Mus musculus: one gene and its partners. The protein of the gene in region 2 purifies or fractionates together with the protein of the main gene of each other region. This does not show direct contact. Links are inferred from orthologs where the notes say so. Each region holds a gene or a part of one and is shown on either strand. Other genes may lie near its edges. The genes, in order: Rpa1, Ppp1r12a, Ppp1cb and Rhoa.

Region 1 (4,893 bases), on a different chromosome or scaffold from region 2:
AGGAGGATCAGGACTTCAAGGTAGTTTGGGCTATAAAATATAAGCTTGAAGCTACCCACTTGAAGACTGTCCCCAACAAAACAAACAAGCTGGGTATGGTGGTCGATGCTTGTATTTCTAGTGTATGAGACGAAGGAAGAAAGCTCAAGCCCGAGACCTGCTTGGGTTACATAGGGAAGATGGTGCCTCAAAAACAGGACAGCCGAGGAGCAGACAGACAGGGCAGACAGGGTGCATCGATCTAAATCCACATACCTGGATTTAAAGTAATATCTGGGAGACTGGTCTGTGAGGGCCGTTCCAGAGATTTAATAAAGACCCACCCTGACTGAGTATGGGCAACACCCATGGGTGGCCCAGGGGTCCAGACTGAATAAAGGGAAAATGGGAGGAAGTTCAGCTGGTAGTGTTTCCAAGTATTAGGACCACAGCCTGGCCCCTGGCATGTGCTGGCCAGCTAGTCTAGCTCCAGTATCAAGCTTCAGGCCAGCGGCAGGGCACTGGACAGTTCCCACACACGACACACACACACACAGAGCACTAGCATTCACCTCCTGGTCTCTTCTTGACAACAGATAAAATGTAACTGGCTGCCACAGTGAGAGTCCCCTACCTTCCTCACCGTTAAGGATGGTACAAACTGTGAGCCAGCAGCAGCCATTTCTCCAGTAACTTGCTTTCCACAGATACTGTTATAGCACTAAGAAAAGCAACTGAAACATGGGGTGCTGTGACCCCTTGGCACCACAAAGCCATGGCAAGCTGAAGTGCACACATCACAGGCCAGGCCTGAAGATGCTGGGGGACTGCAATGCTGCCTGGATTCTGGCAGAGATGTGCAGCAGATGCCAAGAGGTGGGCTGCAGCAACCAGAGATAATTAATATGATTAGGAACACACTGAGCAGGCATGCTCTTGCCGAATGAAAAGCCTCGCAGTGTAATGACTGTTTTCTTCCTCGATCACGGTCTCCACGTTTCAGAGTTGGCTTGGTGTTAGGCTGCCGCGTAAACATCAATCCAACCCCGAGGGGCCAGATCATCGGTGTTCCTGGGCTCAATCGCCTTTCCTTTTGTGTTTTCATTCATTTAAAGATGCATTCCAGGGTTGCAAACATTAGTGAGAATCATCTCCAGGCCTCAGTCTAATCTCTGAGTCTGTAATGAGTTAACATCTTTCCCTAGTGAATATTTATTATGAAGGCTAATTAATTGCTTTCCAGTTACAAGAATCCTTTACAGTCAAAGAAAGTAGGATCCACAAAGATATACTGTTTATTCAAACAAAGCAAAGGAAACAAAGCTTCTTTCTTAAATTCTATTTAACATAGCTTTAATAAAGGTACACAGGTCCGCCTGGCAACCGAACGGTAACTGATGCAAACTGAAGCCATGCTCTGTAGCAGCCTGGATGTCCCAGTGCCACCTCTGTCTGCAGGCTTTGTCGGATTTACTAAGATTCTGTTATCTTCAAACAGGGATTGTGTCTCAAGTAACTGACCCCACTATGTGGATAATGAAGTAAATTATGCAATTTGGGGGTTTGCTTTTCCCCAAGGGGACAGCAAGCCAGTGCTTATCAGCCGTCCTCAGAGGAGACAATTCTGATTAATATCAGAGTCATCTGACTCAGTCTATTAAACCTATCAAACCCTGAAGGAAGGATATTCAGATATTAACGATAGGCCTTTGATTAATAATTCTACCTTGTTGCCATTCTAAGCATTAACAACCATGCAGTAACTCTGCAAAACAGACCCTTTGATTCCAGGCAGACGCACCCTCTGAACACCTGGGTTCTCCCCTACTCTTCTCCCCCCAGGAGGAACTCAAGACAAAAAGGTGCCACCACTGGAAAAGCACACTCCAGGTTACATAATTTGCCTCATTATCCAGAGTGGGGTTAATGACTTGTGACATAATTTCTGTTTGAAGATAACAAAATTTCATGAAATCCGACAAAGCCGGAAGGCAGGAGGAGGGGACTGCTGCCACACTACCGGTGGCTGAGAACTGGAGCGGAAGGTTCACACACAGCCCTCTGAGCTCACTGTCTTTGCTTATCAGTGAGTCCCAAGAGGGGCCCAGATGGGTTGCCAGCCTCCCCTAGAGGATCTTCATTGTGGAGCTGTCCCATGGGGCGGGAAGGAAGCCATTCTATTTCTGTTCTTCTCTCTTCCGTTCTGGCCACCAGTGGTACTTGCTCCCATCACATGTTCTTCCTGATGTTCGCGATCAGCCGTCTGCCATAGTCTCTGAAGTCCACGGGCTTCACGTCCATCACAGTGGCCTTAATTCGAGATTCATCCTTTAGAAAAGAGAGAAGCTGTTTGTGAGTGGCAGAGCCTGGCGTGCAGCGGAAGAGAGAACTTTCTTTGCTTCAGTGGCTTCAATGAGTCCAGCAGGAAGAAGGAAAGTTTACAAGTCTCAGAGAGAAAGTGCTGTGACTTCCTGGAGTTGGGCCAGATCCTCTTCCACAGACCCTTTCCCCATCCTAGGTGCCCTGTGCTCAGACCTAGCATCCTCCCGGAGAAGCCTCTGTCTTTCTATGGGTGCAGTGGGGGCCCAGAGCAGACAGGTAACTCACCCTAAAGCATCACTTTCATCTAGAGGAGCTCTGTGGTAGTAGGGACTGAGGCTTCTGCTCCAGCTCTGGGCAAGGTTACTTCTCTGCTCTTCACCATTCCTGTCCATCCCAGGAAGACAGAAAATCCCTACACTCTCCCTTGATCTACCCGACTTTCTGACACCAGCCTACCTATGTTCATTTAATACAACAACTAAAATATCTATTCACAGGCACTAAGCTGGTGATAACGCAGAATGCACAAACTCTGCGGCTGCAGGGGAGACGGCAGAGTTCCTCCTCCACTTGTCTCCTTGAACTAAACAGTGTCTTTGAGGCAGAACAGGGTGACACCTAGGGACACACAAGTCTAGCTGGGGGCCTTCATGCTTCCATGTGCTTAGTAATTAATTACTACATGCACCGCTGTTTACAAGTATGGTTAGGAGCCCGACTGCCTGGGTTGGCCTCTCGCCTCTGCCACTCCATGGCTTTAGGTTCAGAGTCATTCTCTGCATGCCTCTGCCTGTCTCTCCGTTGGTAAAGCTTGCAACAACAGCTCCAACACAGAAAGTGCTGTGAGGGTCGACAGTGGATAGATGGCTAGATAGATGGGGCAGGACGGACTGTCCAGTAAGCAGGGTTCATCATGGCTATGCAGCTCTGGACATCAGGATTAGTTTAAACACTTGTCAGGTGGGGCACTTTTACCAGCACGTGCTATTTGTTTAATATTCTGAGTTTTAGAACCTAAACTGTGGGAAACAAGAGTCCACACATAACATTTTCGGAAAGTACACAGAAAACAAAGGTCTCTGAAGGCTGTAACAGAGAAGGCTGTAGACGATCTCCTCCCTAAGTCGGCTTCCACACAAGAGCTGGCAGTGCGAACACCCGCCGCAACTCTCACCCCGTGGGTAAGTCCCGGAAACTGAGCTGAAATGCCGCAGTGTACAACAAACAGCAACTTCCCATCACAGCCCTCGGCCCCAGGAACCTTACTTACATTGTAGGTCTCCAGCTTGACCCTGATTCTGAACGTAAATGACCGGAAGTTGGCATTCTGGAAAACCTCTTCAAACGCCTGCTCGTTCTGCAAAAAACAAGACATGGGAACTACTGGAAAACACCCATTAGACTGCTGAAGAGACTGAGAAATTGTCATCTTGAAGGGTTGAAATCACTGAGGAATGGCTAATGACAAAACTGCTTAAGGAGAATTTTATTAAAAAACAAAACTCCTTCTGGAGGAGTACTGTGCTCCCTTCAGCATTAACTACTGTGCCAGGGAACCCACTGCCAGCAGACACCCAACTTCAAGGATAATCAAGCTTGCTACGTAACATGGCTGCTTACGCAGACACCACACACACTTCCTGTATGCTGGGCATCACCTCTAGCTTACTTATAATATCAAACATAAGTACCATGTGAGCGCTACAGGGCCTGGCCAATGAACAGCGATGGGAAAAATAACCTGCACATGGTCAGTAATGGGCAATCCACTCCCCAGACACTTCTAACCTCAGCTGCAGACTTGTGGGTACTGAGAACGGACGTGACTAAGTCAATTCACAGAAGCAGAGCCCTGTGCCTGTGCCAGGGAACGGAGGACGCTGCTCAATGGGCAGAGCTTCAGGGCGGGAAGAGATGGAAAGTGGAGCTAGGGCCCGATGACGTGAATATGGCTAATGCCATATTGTGTGTGTGTGTGTGTGTGTGTGTGTATGTATGTGTATGTGGTGTGTATGTATGTGTGTGCATGTGTGTGTGTGTGTATGTATGTATGTGTGTGTATCCAAAATGGTTATAAAAATCCCATACAATGGCTATGCTTATGTGTCTTTTACCACAAGTAAAAAATTTTAAGTAATCTTAGGAACACATTTCTAAAATTTGGAATACTTGTTGGGGAAGCTATCTGAGCCCCAGCATGAATCAGGAAATGGGTAGGAGAGGCAGGAGAGATGGCTTAGTGGTTAACACACACATGGTGGCCCTTTCCTGGCACCAACTAGGTCACTCACAACCAGGATCTGACAGCCTCTCCTGGCCTCCTCAGGCACCAGGCAGGAAAGCGGCCCCACATCCCTGCAGGTAAAACATTTGTACTGAAACTAAATAAAAACGGAGCAGAAGCTGGGCCTGGAAGTCCTTTACCTCCAGCACCGGGAAGCAGGTGGATATTTTGTGAGTTCCGGGTCTACATAGTAAAAACTTGTCGCCAAGTAAAACAAAACAAAAACTGGGGGCTGGTGAGATGGCTCAGTGGGTAAGAGCACCCGACTGCTCTTCCAAAGGTCCAAAGTTCAAATCCCAGCAACCACA
Region 2 (5,284 bases):
TCGATATTTTGTGATCTTTTGACAGAATTAAAATATTTAAGGACCAGTCACCAAGTCAGTCTTTTTATTGTCAGCTAAAGAAGACAAGTGCTGATTGTCACTGGAGAGACTCTGAAAAGCTTAAGATCCCATGAAGAGGAGCACAGGGGTTCCACTTCTCACATCTCACTAACTGGTGTGTCCCTAATTCGCTCAAAGTGAAGTCCTTACCTTCACAGTCATAATGGAAAACAAGTATGAGAAAAGGAGAGCAATACAGAAAACACAAACATTTCAATGCTGCCTTTGTTTGTTTTGTTTTCCTGAGACAGGGTTTCTCTGTATAGACCTGGCTACTGGAACTCACTCTGTAGATCTAGCTGGCCTCTGTCTCCTAAGTGTTGGGATTAAAGGCATGCGCCACCACTGCCCGGCTCAATGCTGCGTTTTAAAAATCAGTTACTTAACATAGATTGGTGTTTTGCCTGCATGTATGTTTTTGAGGGTATTGGATCCTCTGCAACTGGAGTTACAGGACAGTTGTGAGCTGCCATGTGGGTACTGGGAATTGAACTTAGGACCTCTCCAAGGACAGCCACTGCTCTTGACCACTAAGCAATCTCTCCAGCCCCACAATGCTTCATCTTTTAGGGACTTTGGCTTCTTTGATTTAAGGAACGTGCTCCACACCAACTGCAAATAAAAATGCTTTATACAAATGGCATAAACTTAGAAACATCTCCTGTCAACTCAAACAAAATATGCAGTCATAGAGACTATACCTACATTCACTAAACCACTGAATTCAGTTAATCAAGAAGATATCATTAAGTCTGGCTTCTTTAAATAAGTAAAAACTGTTAAACACAAGCCTTTAAAAGCCAATTTCTTGTCTTTTCAACTATCTAAACTAGTACTGCAACATTAAAAAAAAATGTTAGACATTGTCTTCTTCCTCTAAGCCAGTACAATTCTCCAAAGGGAATAAACTTCACACTTCTACTTAGTTTTAGAAAACATGCTGATATAAACCACTATCCAATTATTCTGACATATAGTTAAGTGTGTCTCAGAACCAATTTCTCATTTAAACTTGCCAAGGACATGTGAAAAAAGAAGATTATTTTTTTAATGTTATATGATAAAAATTTTTAATGCTGAAGGTGATTTCCTTCTCAAAACCATGTTTCCAGATCTAGATTTATAATGTGCCTTAAGCTGTAAGCAAATGAACTTTGCATTACATTAGAGAACCACCCTATATTTTCCTTTGGTGCCATTCTAAATTCCAGATCTGTCCTGCAGATTGTCAGGCACTTCAGCCCTTCCAGTCAGCTTTGTAAACAAAGGCTACGCCAAGCTTGATATGTGAATTTGATTAAATAAAACTTTAAATGGTCATCACTTATTAAAGCAGGAAACAATAAAAGGAAAATGCCTCCATACCATGTCTTTTTAAAAGGTATAAAGTTAACAGGCACAAAATAATAAAGTTTAGGTACAAAGTGCGGAGCCTTAGGTTTCAACCTCTGTTTTTAACCACACTATTATTCAAAATAGAGCTATGCTCTCCCACACAACCAAGAGGAGTCTGAGGGGAGCGGGAAAATTCTTTTTCACTGTAAATTTCCTAGTAATTCCAAGTTTCTTAATATGAAAATAGAAAGAATCTGTCGTGGCATCTATTACCAGCACTTTAAACTTGCTTTTCAAGCAGAACTCTAAGGGTTCTGTTGCTTTTGGCTTGTTAAAGGCAAAGCAACATTATCTCTGGATTGCCAATAGTTTCTCCTTATTTGGCTAACATTGAGAGATCCCAATCGGACTACTATAAAACTTTAACATGCACAAAGCATCCATTTTGAGAAAAGGTTGTGATTAGCTTTGGTTTTTTTTTTTTCTCTCCCCCTCCCCACCACCACCACCAAAAAATAAAAAAATAATAATAATAAAGTTTGGCAACTGTCTTTGAGGAGTACACAGTGTTTATTCCCATCTTCCCTAGCCCCGGTGTGCACTCCAGGAGCCAGGACTCAGGGATCTGTGACTGCGACCAACTTCGAGTACAGGAACCCATAGACTCCAGTTACGAGGTGGGCAAGCCCACTCGGGAAGACTTCCCTTATCAGATTCACTACCAATCCCCTCTCTTTCAGCCACTCCGGATTAGCTAATTACACCCCGTTTCCCCCTCCCCAGTGACCAAGAGTAATAAAGGAGAAAACAGGAAATCGTTCGCTCGGGGCACCCGGCTTTAAGGGTTCGGGCTTTAAGGGTTCGGGATCACTAATATCATCATCCTCATTTGTAATCAAGTCCTAAAAATGTACACCAACACCAATGCCCACCTCCAGGCCAGTGGGCTCCATCTGCCCCAAGAGTCCCTGTTAGTGGATTTTTTTTTTTCAACAACCCTCCCCGCCCCACGGTCTATCACTGACACCGGGCCTCGGCACAACCCATTACTCTCCGGCTCGGCTTGACCCAGACTACCAGACCCAGACACATGTCCACAAATGGCCCTGGAGGCCCCCAAGAGGACCACAGTCCATTCTGCCCCGCGCCCAGGAACATCGGCCGGGTCCCCCCCCAAACTGCACAGGCTGCGGGCGAGCGGCTCTGGAGGGGGGCCCGGAGCCCCGCGCCCCAGCCAGCCTCCCGCGACGGAGCCGCCCCCTCACCCGCAAGCAGGGAGTCTCCCGCCACCCCCCGGCCTCAGCCCCGGCCCCGGGCGCGAGCACCACAGCGGGCCCCGGGGTTCCGGGGTCCGGATGAGGGGACGCCGGGCACACAGACCTGGTGCAGGGCGGTGAGTCCGTCCACATTGGCGTAATTGATGTCGGCGCCGCGGTGCAGCAGCTTGAGGACCTCGTCCGTGTCGCCGCTGGAGCAGGCGGCGAGGAAGACGGCGCCATCGTCGAACTTCACCTTGGTCTTCTGGCGCTTCACCACGGGCGGCTCGAGGTCCGTCTCGGAGCCGATCCAGCGCTTCAGCTGCTCGTTCCGCTTCTGCTTCGCGTCCGCCATCTTCATCCCCTCTCCAGCCGCCGGCTCCTCTTATCGCGAGCTGGGGCGGGGGGGAAGGGGGCGGCGGCGGCGAGGGGACGCCGCCGGGGGGAGTATGCGACCGCGTCGGCGACAGAAAGAGAGAGAGAGAGAGAGAGAGGGGCCGGAGCGGAGCGGAGCCGCGAGCCGGGGAGGAGACGCTCGAGACTTCCAGTATCCCACAGAGCACTGGGGCGAGCCCGGCCGAGCGGGCCTCTCTTCCTACCACAGACGCCCTCCCGCCCCCGGCACGGCCGCCCGCCCGTCAGTCCGTCAGCCGCGGCCCGGCTGAGCGTAACTTCGCGAGATCGCGGCCGGGGAGGCGCCCTGCGGCCCAGTGCGCATGCGCGCTCCCGCCTCGGCCTGGGCCTCGGCTTCGGCCCGGCCCAGGAAGAGCTCGGGGGCCGAGCGCTGGCGGGGGCGCTACCGGAGGGAAGCGGGTGTGGCTCTGGCAGCCGGGGGCTGGGCCGCTCCTGGAAGGGAGGAGGCCGGGAAGGAAGGTTGTCTCGTCCGGCGGGACCGAGAGCTCTAGAGGCAGCCGGGTCGGGCGGCGAGGCGGGACCGGGCTGACCTGCCTGCCTCCTCCCGGGCTCGGCGGGCCGCGCGAGGCGTCTGCCCGGGGCGGAGGGTTTTCCTATTGGCTGCGTGATTTGAATGGAGAGGACACGGGTCGTGCATTAGGTGCTTGTGGGGGTTGCTCTTCCCGAGGAACTCGGGGGGAAACCCGGGCGATCCTGATGAGAGCGTTTTAAAAGTGGGGTCGGAGTCGTCTCCACGGCCCCGGTGGCATTGACCGAGGTGATCGCCTACTGGCAGGGGATGGTGACCTGCGGTTAATTGCAGTGGCTTCCTGCAAACACCCACTGCAGAAATGTCTTTCCTCTTAGGCTTGCTCAGTATTGTTGTTTTGTTTTTCCCCCGTCTTTAAGCCTGTTTTGATTTCTTCTTCCTCCATCGCTTTTCGGCCTGGGTGGCACTGCCCATGAGGGCTAGTTCAGCCTTGTTAACTGCTCCTGACCTTTTAAGGGATTTACGGTTTCAGCTCCATTGCTTTCTATGGAGTAAAGACCCGGCTGCGTCTAGAATTCAAAAGGAATGTGGACGAAGGCAGTTACTTCGACTGATATTTATCCAGTACATGTCTAAAAAGTCGTGACTTCCTAGGCTCTGAAAATACAGTAAATACGATTTATTTGAGCCCATTTCTTAAATTCTTGTGTTGCAAAGAACATCATAAGGAGATTTTAGCTTTGCCTTTTCTAAACACTCTCCCGTCCCATACACTTTAGATCTATAATGTCATAAAACCCTACCACTGGTCCTTTTTGGGAATCCTGTAGACTGTGAACCCCCCCACCCCCAAAGAAAATAGTTGCCTTGCCCCTAACCGCCTCCCAGTGCTGGGAATACAGCAGTGAAAAGTTATTTTCTTACTCTTCAGCATGTTGCCTTTCTGGTAGATTAGAATAACTGAGTAAAATATGCTGGGGGAACCACCTTATAGAACTGAATATTCTGAATTTCAATGTTAGGAATAGTAATAAAATCCAAGCTAAGATAAAACTACTTCCTTGAAACACAAAACGAGTGTGCCACACATGAAATACATCTATATCTTCATAAAATGTATTGAGGATCATACCACTAGACCTCTGCACAACAATGAGAACAGTGGTGTTTGGTACTGAATCATCATCATCATCTTCTTCTTCTTCTTCTTCTTCTTCTTCTTCTTCTTCTTCTTCTTCTTCTTCTTCTTCTTCCTCCTCCTCCTCCTCCTCCTCCTCCTCCTCCTCCTCCTCCTCCTCCTCCTCCTCCTCCTCCTCCTCCTCCTCCTCTTCTTCTTCTCTCTCTCTCTCTCTCTCTCTCTCTCTCTCTCTCTCTCTCTCTTTCTCTCTCTCTCTCTCTTTCTTTTCCAGATACGGTTTCTCCATGTAGATCTGGCTGTCCTGGAACCCACTTTGTAGACTTCAAACTCAGAAATTGGCCTGCCTCTGCCTCCCAAGTGCTGGGATTAAATCTGTGTGCTACCACCATGGAGCAGGGTCATGAATTTTCTTAACGTGAAACTATAAAATCCCTATGCACAGAATATGGCCCTCCCAATCAAAGAAAAGAATTGAGTATACTCTTACCAGCTCTCCTATCTACCTAGAGAAAACTGACTTTTCCTTGTTTTCTGAGAACATTCTGTCTATTTATTTGCTATTAAAAGTGCTCTTGAAATACACATTCATTGGAATTTCACATTTTCATTTGG
Region 3 (5,237 bases), on a different chromosome or scaffold from region 2:
ACATAAAAAGTAGTTACTGAAAGTGAGTGCACTTAACTGGCCATCAGAGTTTAATATATTTTTAAATGAATAAACTGTAACATAAAGTAAACACTTTAAAATGAGACTAGGTTCTGATCAATTTTTTTCTCTTAATGCAAAAAAACATTTTTACAAAAGCAAGGTTTTTTTCCTGTTGTGTTTTGCTGGTCTAGAGCTCAGAGATCTGCCTGCCTCAGCCTACTGGGTGCTGGGATTAAAGCCACAACTTTTTGCCCAGCCAAAAGCAATCTTTAATTGATAGACAACACTGCATCTTTTAGGAACACATATTTTAAGTGCATACACTGTGAAATGGCTGAACACACTGAATCCACACATTTTATCTACCAAGGATGTCATATTTATCATACTGGTCCTTAGAGCACACATTCTCGAAGGTTCTCTTCACACTTTCAATACAATGACCACTAACTGTAGTCTTGCTATGGATAGACGTCTTTAACTATAATTACATATCTTTTAATGTTCACTTTCATTTAGGACACACAAAATATATAACCTAGACATCTTTAACTATAATTATGTATCTTTTAATGTTCACTTTCATTTAGGACGCACAAAATATATAACCAGGTTATTCTGTTCTGCGAGGCAACTTTACAGAATAGCACCACTTGAATTTGAGTTAAATTAGCATGTAATACTGAAAACTAAAGTAGGCTGCCCGGCAGAGGTGGTGCATGTCTCTAATTCCCAGTATTTGGGGAGGCAGAGTTTGAGGCAGCCTGGTCTACAGAGCAAGTTCCAGGATAGCCAGGTACAGAGAAACCCTGTCTCAAAAAAAATTTTTTTTTCAAGATTGAATTTACTCACTAGAAAATCCAAGACTTCAAAATTTATTTGAACAGGTTTAGGCTTGGGGAGGGAAGGAGGGACTGGTAATATTTTAGAGTAACAACAAAAGCAGTCTTCGTCTGGATTAAGGAACAAGAATGTAACAAAACTACTAATAAATTGTACATTCAAAGCAGGAAGAGCAGGAAGGCTAGCACACACTGAGAAGCCACTTGTTTATACTGAGCTGCTTGAGTGAGGAGTGAGCCTTATCTTTGACTCCTGGTGCCTGGCAGTGCAGTCAATAAACACTTGCTATATTAGAAAAAAAGAACGTATTCTTACCCAAGAAGGGGGGACTGGTGGGTGCTGGTGACTGATGATAGAACCAAATATTTAACAATGATATAGCTCAGGCTACTTTCCCCTTTTTCTCTACAACTCCCACTCTATTAGTTGTATTTAAGCATCTGTAACTGTATAGAAGTACATTTGATTTAAAGGCTTCTAGATCGGTTTAAAATACATGCATCTGCTATAAGGTATTTATGAAAAATTAAAAATATTAATAAACTGCGATAAAATCTGATCCAAATTTAATTTAAAATTTAGATTATATGAAAACAGTGGTGGGCTTAAATTCCCCTTCTCCGAAGAGTAACAAGATATAAAGATTTAAAATAACTATATTTCCCTAATAGAGCCAGCCATGTACTACAAGCATAAATTTTTTTTAACTAAACAAATTTCTCACAGACCCAGCAAGATGTTTCTATCAATTAAAGACCACAAAATCCCAAGCAGTAAACACAGCAAGCACCAGGGGGCCTCCCAGGAATAACTTGATACTAAAGGAGAAGGTAAATAAGAAAGAGTTCCTGGTAAAAGTTCTGCCTTTTTCTCAGCCTTAAGGCTGCTGGAAAGCTTTTACATCTGGAGCATATAAACAGAGTTGTTTTGTTGTTGTTGTTGTTTTAAACAGAGAATAAATACTTCGTACTTTAACTAGTTAAAGAAAAGTCACCCCTCTCCACGCTCTTTGGTAAAATTCCAAACACAAACAGCTTCGCTGTAGTAAACACACGCATTCATTAGGAGGCTGACAAAAAGGACTCTTAACCACTCAAAAACGCAATTCTTTTTTACACACTCCACAATTAGTGACGACGCAAATTTTATAGCGTAAAAGGGTTCTTTTGACCAAGACCCGCCTTTAACTTCGAACAGTATCCCCCAACGGACCAATACATTTAACTACTGGCCTCTCCATCTCCTCTTTTCTCCTTATGTTCCCACCAACACAAAACTAATCGATAAAAGCATAAGAACCCGGAACTTCAAATGCTGAGAACACTTGTAAAATACCTTTTAAGCTCAAGAGATTATTCACAACAGACATTTGCTAAGTTTGTGCAGAAATTAAACTCGGCTCAAACATGTTTAAAAAAAAAAAAAAGCCCCCAAATCAACCCCTTCAGCACATGTATCCGGGCGTTTCGTATTTCTAACGGACGTCTTTAACCTGATTCAGGATTTTTACTGTTTTTTTATACTCCAGATAATAAATGGTAAACTAGTCATCGTATCCTCTCCCTAATTCTTTCTAGAGCATCCAGTAAAATGCAAACGATCCGAGAGCCTTACTGGGAAGGTTTTATGTAAAATTCACTACCGGAACGACCATCGGAGGCTGCCAAGGGCAACGCACAAAGAGAACCGAGAAATACACATTCCACGGACACACAAAGCCCAGCGGCAGGCATCCTCGCCCCTTCTTCGGAACGGTCTGCAGAGGCCAGCACAGCGGCCAAGCGGAGCCCGGCCGCCTCTCGGGAAGACTGTACCAGCCGATGGGCCTCCGGCCTCGCTCGGCCCGGCCTCCCCGCCTGCCCGCCCGCCAGCCCGCGCTCCTGGCCTCCTGGGGCACCCGGCCCGCCCGCCCGCCCGCCCGCCTGCCCTCCTCTCCGACCTCAGCTCGAGCGGGAAGGGCCCCGCGGCCGGGTGGGGAGACGAGCCGGCGCCGCACTCACCCTCCAGCAGGCGGGTGATGAGGCTGTCCACGTTCAGCTCCCCGTCCGCCATCTTGTCGGCACCAGACTCTCCTCCCTAAAGCGTTAACAGGGCTTCTCGGCGGCGGCGGCGGCTCGGCGTTCTCACCTACGAGTCACGCGGCGTTTCGACCCCGGCTCCAACTCCCCCCGGGCGCGGGCCCTCCCCCCACCCCCTCCCCGCCGAGCAGCGACAGCGCGCGCACACGCTGGCGGCGCCCACTGGAAATAAATAAATAAACAAGCAGGCCCCCAGGAACCGGGCCGCGTCAGGAACCGGGCCGCGTCAGACCCCAGCCGCCACCGCCTCCTCCACCTCCTCCTCGGCACCGCCCAGCTCCGCAAAGCTCGGCAGCGCCACGGACAGCCCCGCCCTCAGCGTCACTCCCTCCCCTCCGCCCTTGCGGGCCGCCTAGCCGCGCCGAACTGCGCGCACGCGCGCCACGTCCCCTTCCTGCCTCTCCAGCTCCCCGCCCTCCCCTCCGCGGTTGCTAACGCGCAGGAGCGATTCCCTCTCTCAGGCGTTCCACTGCAACGAACAGTCGCCACTACGCAGGCGCAGGGCGGAGCCTGCCTTGCTTGTGAACGCAGAGCCGGCGTAGGCTGGAATGACCTTCCTTCCCTGCTCCCCAGGGCCTGGTGGTTCCGCAGAGTTAACTATTGCGTTCTTCCCGCCTTGCTTTTCTTTTCTAGGTTTCAGTCACTGGTTTTCAAAACAATTGCTCGTATTTCCGCTAACCCGGAAACGTGGGTTTCAGTTGCCTATGTTGGAAACCCAGGTGTGCTGGAGATAAGAGACTTCTCTGTTGAAAAAGATTGACATTGCAGATCAAGGGCTCTGTATCACATCACCAGAGTCGCTGATTCGCCAGGTGACCCTAGAAGAAACAGGATTCAAAGTGGGCCTCAGTCAACAGCAATAAGATTTTACACGCTCCCGACATCTCCATACACTCAGGATACCACTTTTCTATAGTTCTTTTCTGTTCATTGATTTCTTATATTGCTTAATTCTCTTATCTTGTGATTTTTAAACATTTCTCTACTGCACTCGGTTCCTAGAGGATAAAAATCACATTTACCGGGCATAAGAGACCTGTAATCCCTACAACTGGGAGATGGAGGCAGAAGATCCAGAAGCCCAAGGTCATCTTCAGCTACATAATAAATGCTTGCAGTTGGGATAAATTAAAAACAAATACAGGGACTGAAGAGATGATTCAGAGGTTAGGAGCACTGCCTGTTTTTTTGCAGAGGACATGGGTTCAATTCCCAGCACCCACATGGTTACAACTATCTATCTGTAATTTTGATTCTGATAAAAATAAAATAAAAAGAAAAGGACATGATTGCTTCTAGGTATGATGAAGAAAAAGGTTTATTAGAGATAAATGGGAGAACATAGTTGGGAGGAAAGACATCTGGGAATATTCAGAGCGAGCATGACTCTGAGGGGGAGGGAAAGAGAAGATTAGGGCAGGGAGTGTGCATGCCATACATACCCTGTAACAGGTAGGAATGGCTGAGAGAACCTGGGTCCAGTAACCACTTTCACATGTTAAATAAGTACCTCTGTCATTTGTCCCAGGTTTGAGACCTAACAGTTCCAGGGCATCTGATGCCCTCTCGGTCCTCTCTATGGGCACTATACATAGTACACAAACATACATGCAGACAAAGCACTCATATGCATAAAAATACTTTTTAAAAGTAAAGAAGGAAATAGAAAAAAAAAAAAGGAAACCAAGCATGGGAAAGATCAGATTAAACCAGGGGCTTTATTTCCAAAATGCACGCTGGAAGATTCTGTTAACTTGAAAAAGATGGGCTAAAAAGTTGACTCTCTGCTTTCTAGAAACTAAGAAACTGAAACACCAGTTACAAATGGAGGTAGATATTTTGATGCCATTTCTCCAAATCTATCTCTTCCATGACTTTAAGAATTCAGAATACTTGGGAATGCTTATGTAGATGTCTTATGTTTTTATGGGCCCTATAAGTCCCAAGGAAAAGAACTTTTAAGTCTTATCCACAACTAAAGTTCAATTATATGCAGACATGCTAAAAAGGGTACCCCCGTCCAATGGGACTACAAAGAGAAAAAGTGATCATTGAAAAGAGAGTTGCTGTAAACAGGACACAATTCAGTCCGACAGAATTATGGGTTCAAGGAAACAAGAGAGAAGGTCAGAGTTTCCATTCCCCGTCAGGTTTTCCAGTGTCTTGGAAGATTGAAAAAGAAATGGGTCATAGCAGAAAATGTTGGGATTTTTTTTCCAGGGAGGGGCATCATTTTTGTTATTTTTTATTTTGAAACAGTGTCTCACTATGCAGCCCCTTGCTGGCTTGGAACTCACTATGTAGACCAGGCTG
Region 4 (4,242 bases), on a different chromosome or scaffold from region 2:
TCTGTTTTTGTTTTTTATTCCCGAGACAGGGTTTCTCTGTGCAGCCCTCGTTGTCCTGGAACTCACTTTGTAGACCAGGCTGGCCTCGAACTCAGAAATCCGCCTGCTGGGATTAAAGGCGTGTGCCACCACACCCAGCTCTGAAGATCTGTTTTCACTCTTCTAGTAACTTACTTACACCCCTAATAGAGCAAGATGGACTTTTTAAAGGACTATGAAATCACTCCAACAAAACCACTCTCACACATGTACAGACCATGGTCTACTTGATACATGCAAATTCTCACCAATTCCATTTAAAACTGACTCAAAGGAGTCTTGAAAACATTCTAGCTGGACCTCATTACCTTATCTTTGCTAACAGTAAACTCTCAAAACCCGGTCCTTAAGAAAACCAACACACTCAAAGGCAAGGCCTAGCCAGAAAGGAACTACTTACAAAAACATGAAATTTGTTTCCCAAATATGCATAATCTGCATGGTAAAGAACCTGAAGTAACCTGGAAATTCTGATTTTAACTGACAGCACATGGAGAATAACAGAAAAAAAAATAGTTGTAGTCTAACTAGATGTATGACCTTCAAACATTTTAAGTCTCAGCAGGAATGGTGGCACACACCCAGTGATCCCAGCACTGTTCCGGAGGCAGCACTAGGAGCATGTGGAAATTAGAGACCAGCTTTATCTACAAATTAAGTTCCAGGTCTCAGGTCAGACCCAGTGTCTTTTTTTTTTTTTTTAAATTAAGTCTTAGGTCAGTGGTTCTTCTGGTATTATCACACCCACTGTTCTCTCTGCGGAGTAATAAGCCTTTCTCAAGAAAGAGAGAGAGAGACAGACAGACAGACACACACACACACACACACACACACACAGAAGGAAAGAGAAAAAAATTCCCTAAGCTCAGTTCCCACACCTACAAACGGAATTGGTTTGTAAATCCTAAAGTTTTTTTTTTCCTCCCCAGTCTAAAATACTACATCTATTGGGGGTACAATCAGTAGAGTGGATGTTCCTATTCTCCTGTTCAGTAGATTTTTGAGTAGAAGCTATGTAAGTTGAGCACTAGAGTTTGATCCCAAGTTGTAAGGCTGAAATGCAGCTCAGAGATACAGCACCTGTTCACTGTGTCCCAAGCCAACACCAAAGAGGAAAATAAAATAGGAAAAAAACAAGCTCCATATATTTTATGTCCCTAAGAAACGTCACTGCTCCGGAGAAATACTCCAAACAACATCTCAGAGTCTTCAATATTAAGACCTGATCTTGTTTTCTTAGTTTAATAATACGTGAGTCAAATGCTCAAACTAGCCAATGAAAGGTGAAAAAAACATTCCACATGGTACATACACATTTGGGCACGTGACACTAAGTGGCTAAAAATTCTCACCACATACCGCATCCTAAAATATAAGTTTTCCCCTTTCAGACTGGCATGGGGGATGTACATTATACGTGTACTACATATTATACATATATAATGTTATATATAACATGCAAAAAGCACTTATTTCAAAATATACCAGAAGACAAAACCAAATAAATAACTAATAGGTCAAAATTTAGTGATGACTATTAGAAAATACAAGTAGAACCAATTCTGGGGCAAAAAAGAAAAAAAATGGTGTCAAATTTTCCACTATCAGCTACTAAACATGAACTTTTTTTTTTTTAAATCAACTTGCCTGCAAAAAATGCAATTTTACGAAACCGACCTGAAAAGGGGAACCCATCAGTGATTCTTAATTGAAGTAATAACTTTAAGCAGAAATGCATCTATTTTGATGCAACCTCGCCAAATTATTATGTGTTTTTTCGACTGGAAAATACCTTCCCCCATAGAGTCATAACCGCTAAGATTTCAAAACAATCTTTTACTTACACAATCTCCAATAATACGGCACTCAAAACAGAAAATCCACCCAAACCCTCACTGTCTTCACCCGGTATAGAACGGGATTAATAATCCACGTTCAATGCAAAAGGCAAAATGGAGTTGTAAAAGAGTTTCTTGCCTAGTCCAACTCCCGACAGCCACACGCGCTTCGCAGTGGCAGGCTACCCCAGCGCGGTCGCGGACCGGCCGGGAGCCCCCGCCCAGCCCGGCGCAACCCTGAGAGGAAGCGACGAGGAGGGCGGGCGGCTAGGGCTCCACCAGGCCCGGCCGGGCGGGGGAAGGGGGACTGGAGGCGGCGGGGCGCGCTTCCGGGGACTGCGCGGGCGGGGCCGCCGCCTCGGGCGCGGGGCCCCAGGTCAGGGGCCGGGGCGAGGGGCTGCGGGCCGAGAGCAGCAGGTGGGGCGCGACCGCGGGCAGGCGACGGGCCGGAGGCCGGAAAAGTGCTTGCCGATCAGCCGACCAGCCGGGCCCGGAGCCGAGGCGGCTGGAGGGAAATGCTCCTGCTCACCTCAAGGCGAGGACTCCGAGTCCGGCCTCTTCGCGCTGAGGACGCTTGTCCGCGAGTCCGCGAGCTCCGAGCCAAGGACGGGCAGCTCCGTGGGAGACGGCGGGCTATGGAGAGAACCGACGGAGGACCGCGGGCGGCGGGCGGGGAGCGCGAGCGAACGAGGGCGGGCGGTGGCGGGAGGGCGGGGAGCGACGTGCGCGGCCCCGAGCGCCCTGCGGGCTCGAGCTGGCGCCAGTCGCGGCCCCGCGCACGCGCGCACACTCTCAGTTCAGCCACGATTGCTCAAGAACGCATCCACGCCCTGAGAGCTAGACGCTTAACCAATCATGGCAGACGCGTGGAGCATGACGGGAACACCGGGGCTATAAAAGAGCGAGTTGCTATTTTATCCTCACCGAATCACTCATCCTTTAAGCAAGCAGGGTGGGGCTGGGTGCGCCTGCGCGGTTTTAAAAACCCCTCCCCAAACTGCCAACACTTCGCGCAAGCGAAGTAGATCTTCCTTGCCTTGTATTACGCGTGCGCACTGACAGGCCTAACCCCGGAAGACCATACGCTTGCGCAGTAAGAACTACGGTGACAGTACTCCCGGTGGGGCGCTGGCCAGTCATGGCGGAGCCTTGGGCCGGGCAGTTTCTGCAAGCTTTGCCCGCCACGGTGCTCGGAGCGCTGGGCACCCTGGGCAGCGACTTTCTGCGGGAGTGGGAGACACAAGACATGCGAGTGACTCTCTTCAAGCTGCTCCTGCTGTGGTTGGTGTTAAGTCTCCTGGGCATCCAGCTGGCCTGGGGGTTCTACGGGAACACAGTGACCGGGTTGTATCACCGTCCAGGTGAGGCTCCCTACGAACCTCCTTGGCCCGGCTGTCCCTACCACCACCATACTGTACCATTGGGTTCTCCTGTGTCCACATAGACTACCACTGGTCCTCCAGGAGCCTCACTGTACCCAGACTTACAACCCCGTACCATTTTACACCACAAGCCCCTCATGCCCATCATCACGTTGTTAACTGTTTCTCAAAACCCTTCCTGGACAATACCACTAGTCCCTAGTATCCCAGCCTCAATCTCTATTAAACTATACCAGTGGCCCCTGACCTGACCTGGGCTATTGCCTGCTCAGATCCCCACCCTCAGCCTCCTGCAGCTATGGGTGTGTTCCTGCCTCCAGGTCTGGGTGGCCAGAATGGATCCACACCTGATGGCTCCACACATTTCTCTTCATGGTGAGTAAATCTCTGTCTATCCCAACCCCATGCTTGACAGGCAGAGAACTCTCAGCATGTGAGTGCACCAGCTTAGTGGCTGTGCAAGAATCCTTCAAGGCTAATGGTAGAGCTCAGGATTCCAGTTGGGGGTTCCCAGTGGCTTTAGAGCCTCTCATCAGCATGTTCAGTGGGGATGGATGGTGGTGTTACCTTAATTTCAGAAAGGTGATGTGCCAGGTCTATTGAAAACAAATCCCTTGGTTGGGAAGTCTTTCTTTAGGAAGGCAAGAACATCTATTCTAGGCAAGTACTGTACCACTGGAGCTATAACCCCCAGCCTAACAGTCTCTATTCTTAGCATACGACCTCATCAAGTCAACCTCCTAATCTCTAAAAACAACAGCTTACTTATCAGGACATTTCATTCAGCTAATCTCTGAGCTTCTACCACACGGCAGAGGTCACAGTACACCAGAAAACAAGGACAACTCAGACTCTGCCAGGCAGTGGTGGCGCACACCTTTAATCTGAGCACTTGGGAGGCAGAGGCAGGTGGATTTCTGAGTTCGAGGCTAGCCTGGTCTACAGAGTGTGTTCCAGGACAGCCAGGGCTTCACAGAGAAACC

The links.
Region 1: the proteins of Ppp1r12a (region 2) and Rpa1 fractionate together in Homo sapiens (co-fractionation; 3 studies listed by BioGRID, with this or other methods). This does not show direct contact. The link is inferred for Mus musculus from reciprocal best matches to the Homo sapiens genes PPP1R12A and RPA1.
Region 3: the proteins of Ppp1r12a (region 2) and Ppp1cb purify together in Homo sapiens (affinity purification with mass spectrometry; 6 studies listed by BioGRID and IntAct, with this or other methods). This does not show direct contact. The link is inferred for Mus musculus from reciprocal best matches to the Homo sapiens genes PPP1R12A and PPP1CB.
Region 4: the proteins of Ppp1r12a (region 2) and Rhoa fractionate together in Homo sapiens (co-fractionation; 3 studies listed by BioGRID and IntAct, with this or other methods). This does not show direct contact. The link is inferred for Mus musculus from reciprocal best matches to the Homo sapiens genes PPP1R12A and RHOA.

What each region holds. Positions count from the first base shown.
Region 1 is NC_000077.6:75,299,097-75,303,989, forward strand, and holds the end of Rpa1 (replication protein A 70 kDa DNA-binding subunit), read right to left. Parts: intron 3,659-4,893; coding exon 3,572-3,658; intron 2,308-3,571; coding exon 2,209-2,307; 3' UTR 1,163-2,208; downstream 1-1,162. UniProt on the Homo sapiens protein: As part of the heterotrimeric replication protein A complex (RPA/RP-A), binds and stabilizes single-stranded DNA intermediates that form during DNA replication or upon DNA stress.
Region 2 is NC_000076.6:108,160,128-108,165,411, reverse strand, and holds the start of Ppp1r12a (protein phosphatase 1 regulatory subunit 12A), read right to left. Parts: upstream 3,315-5,284; 5' UTR 3,013-3,314; coding exon 2,776-3,012; intron 1-2,775. UniProt on the Homo sapiens protein: Key regulator of protein phosphatase 1C (PPP1C). Mediates binding to myosin. As part of the PPP1C complex, involved in dephosphorylation of PLK1. Capable of inhibiting HIF1AN-dependent suppression of HIF1A activity.
Region 3 is NC_000071.6:32,457,017-32,462,253, reverse strand, and holds the start of Ppp1cb (serine/threonine-protein phosphatase PP1-beta catalytic subunit), read right to left. Parts: upstream 3,285-5,237; 5' UTR 2,899-3,284; coding exon 2,847-2,898; intron 1-2,846. UniProt on the Homo sapiens protein: Protein phosphatase that associates with over 200 regulatory proteins to form highly specific holoenzymes which dephosphorylate hundreds of biological targets.
Region 4 is NC_000075.6:108,304,718-108,308,959, reverse strand, and holds the start of Rhoa (transforming protein RhoA precursor), read right to left. Parts: upstream 2,801-4,242; 5' UTR 2,407-2,800; intron 2,164-2,406; exon of another isoform or gene 1,884-2,163; intron 1-1,883. Other genes in the region: Tcta (T-cell leukemia translocation-altered gene protein homolog), read left to right, coding at 3,016-3,238, 3,532-3,634. UniProt on the Homo sapiens protein: Small GTPase which cycles between an active GTP-bound and an inactive GDP-bound state.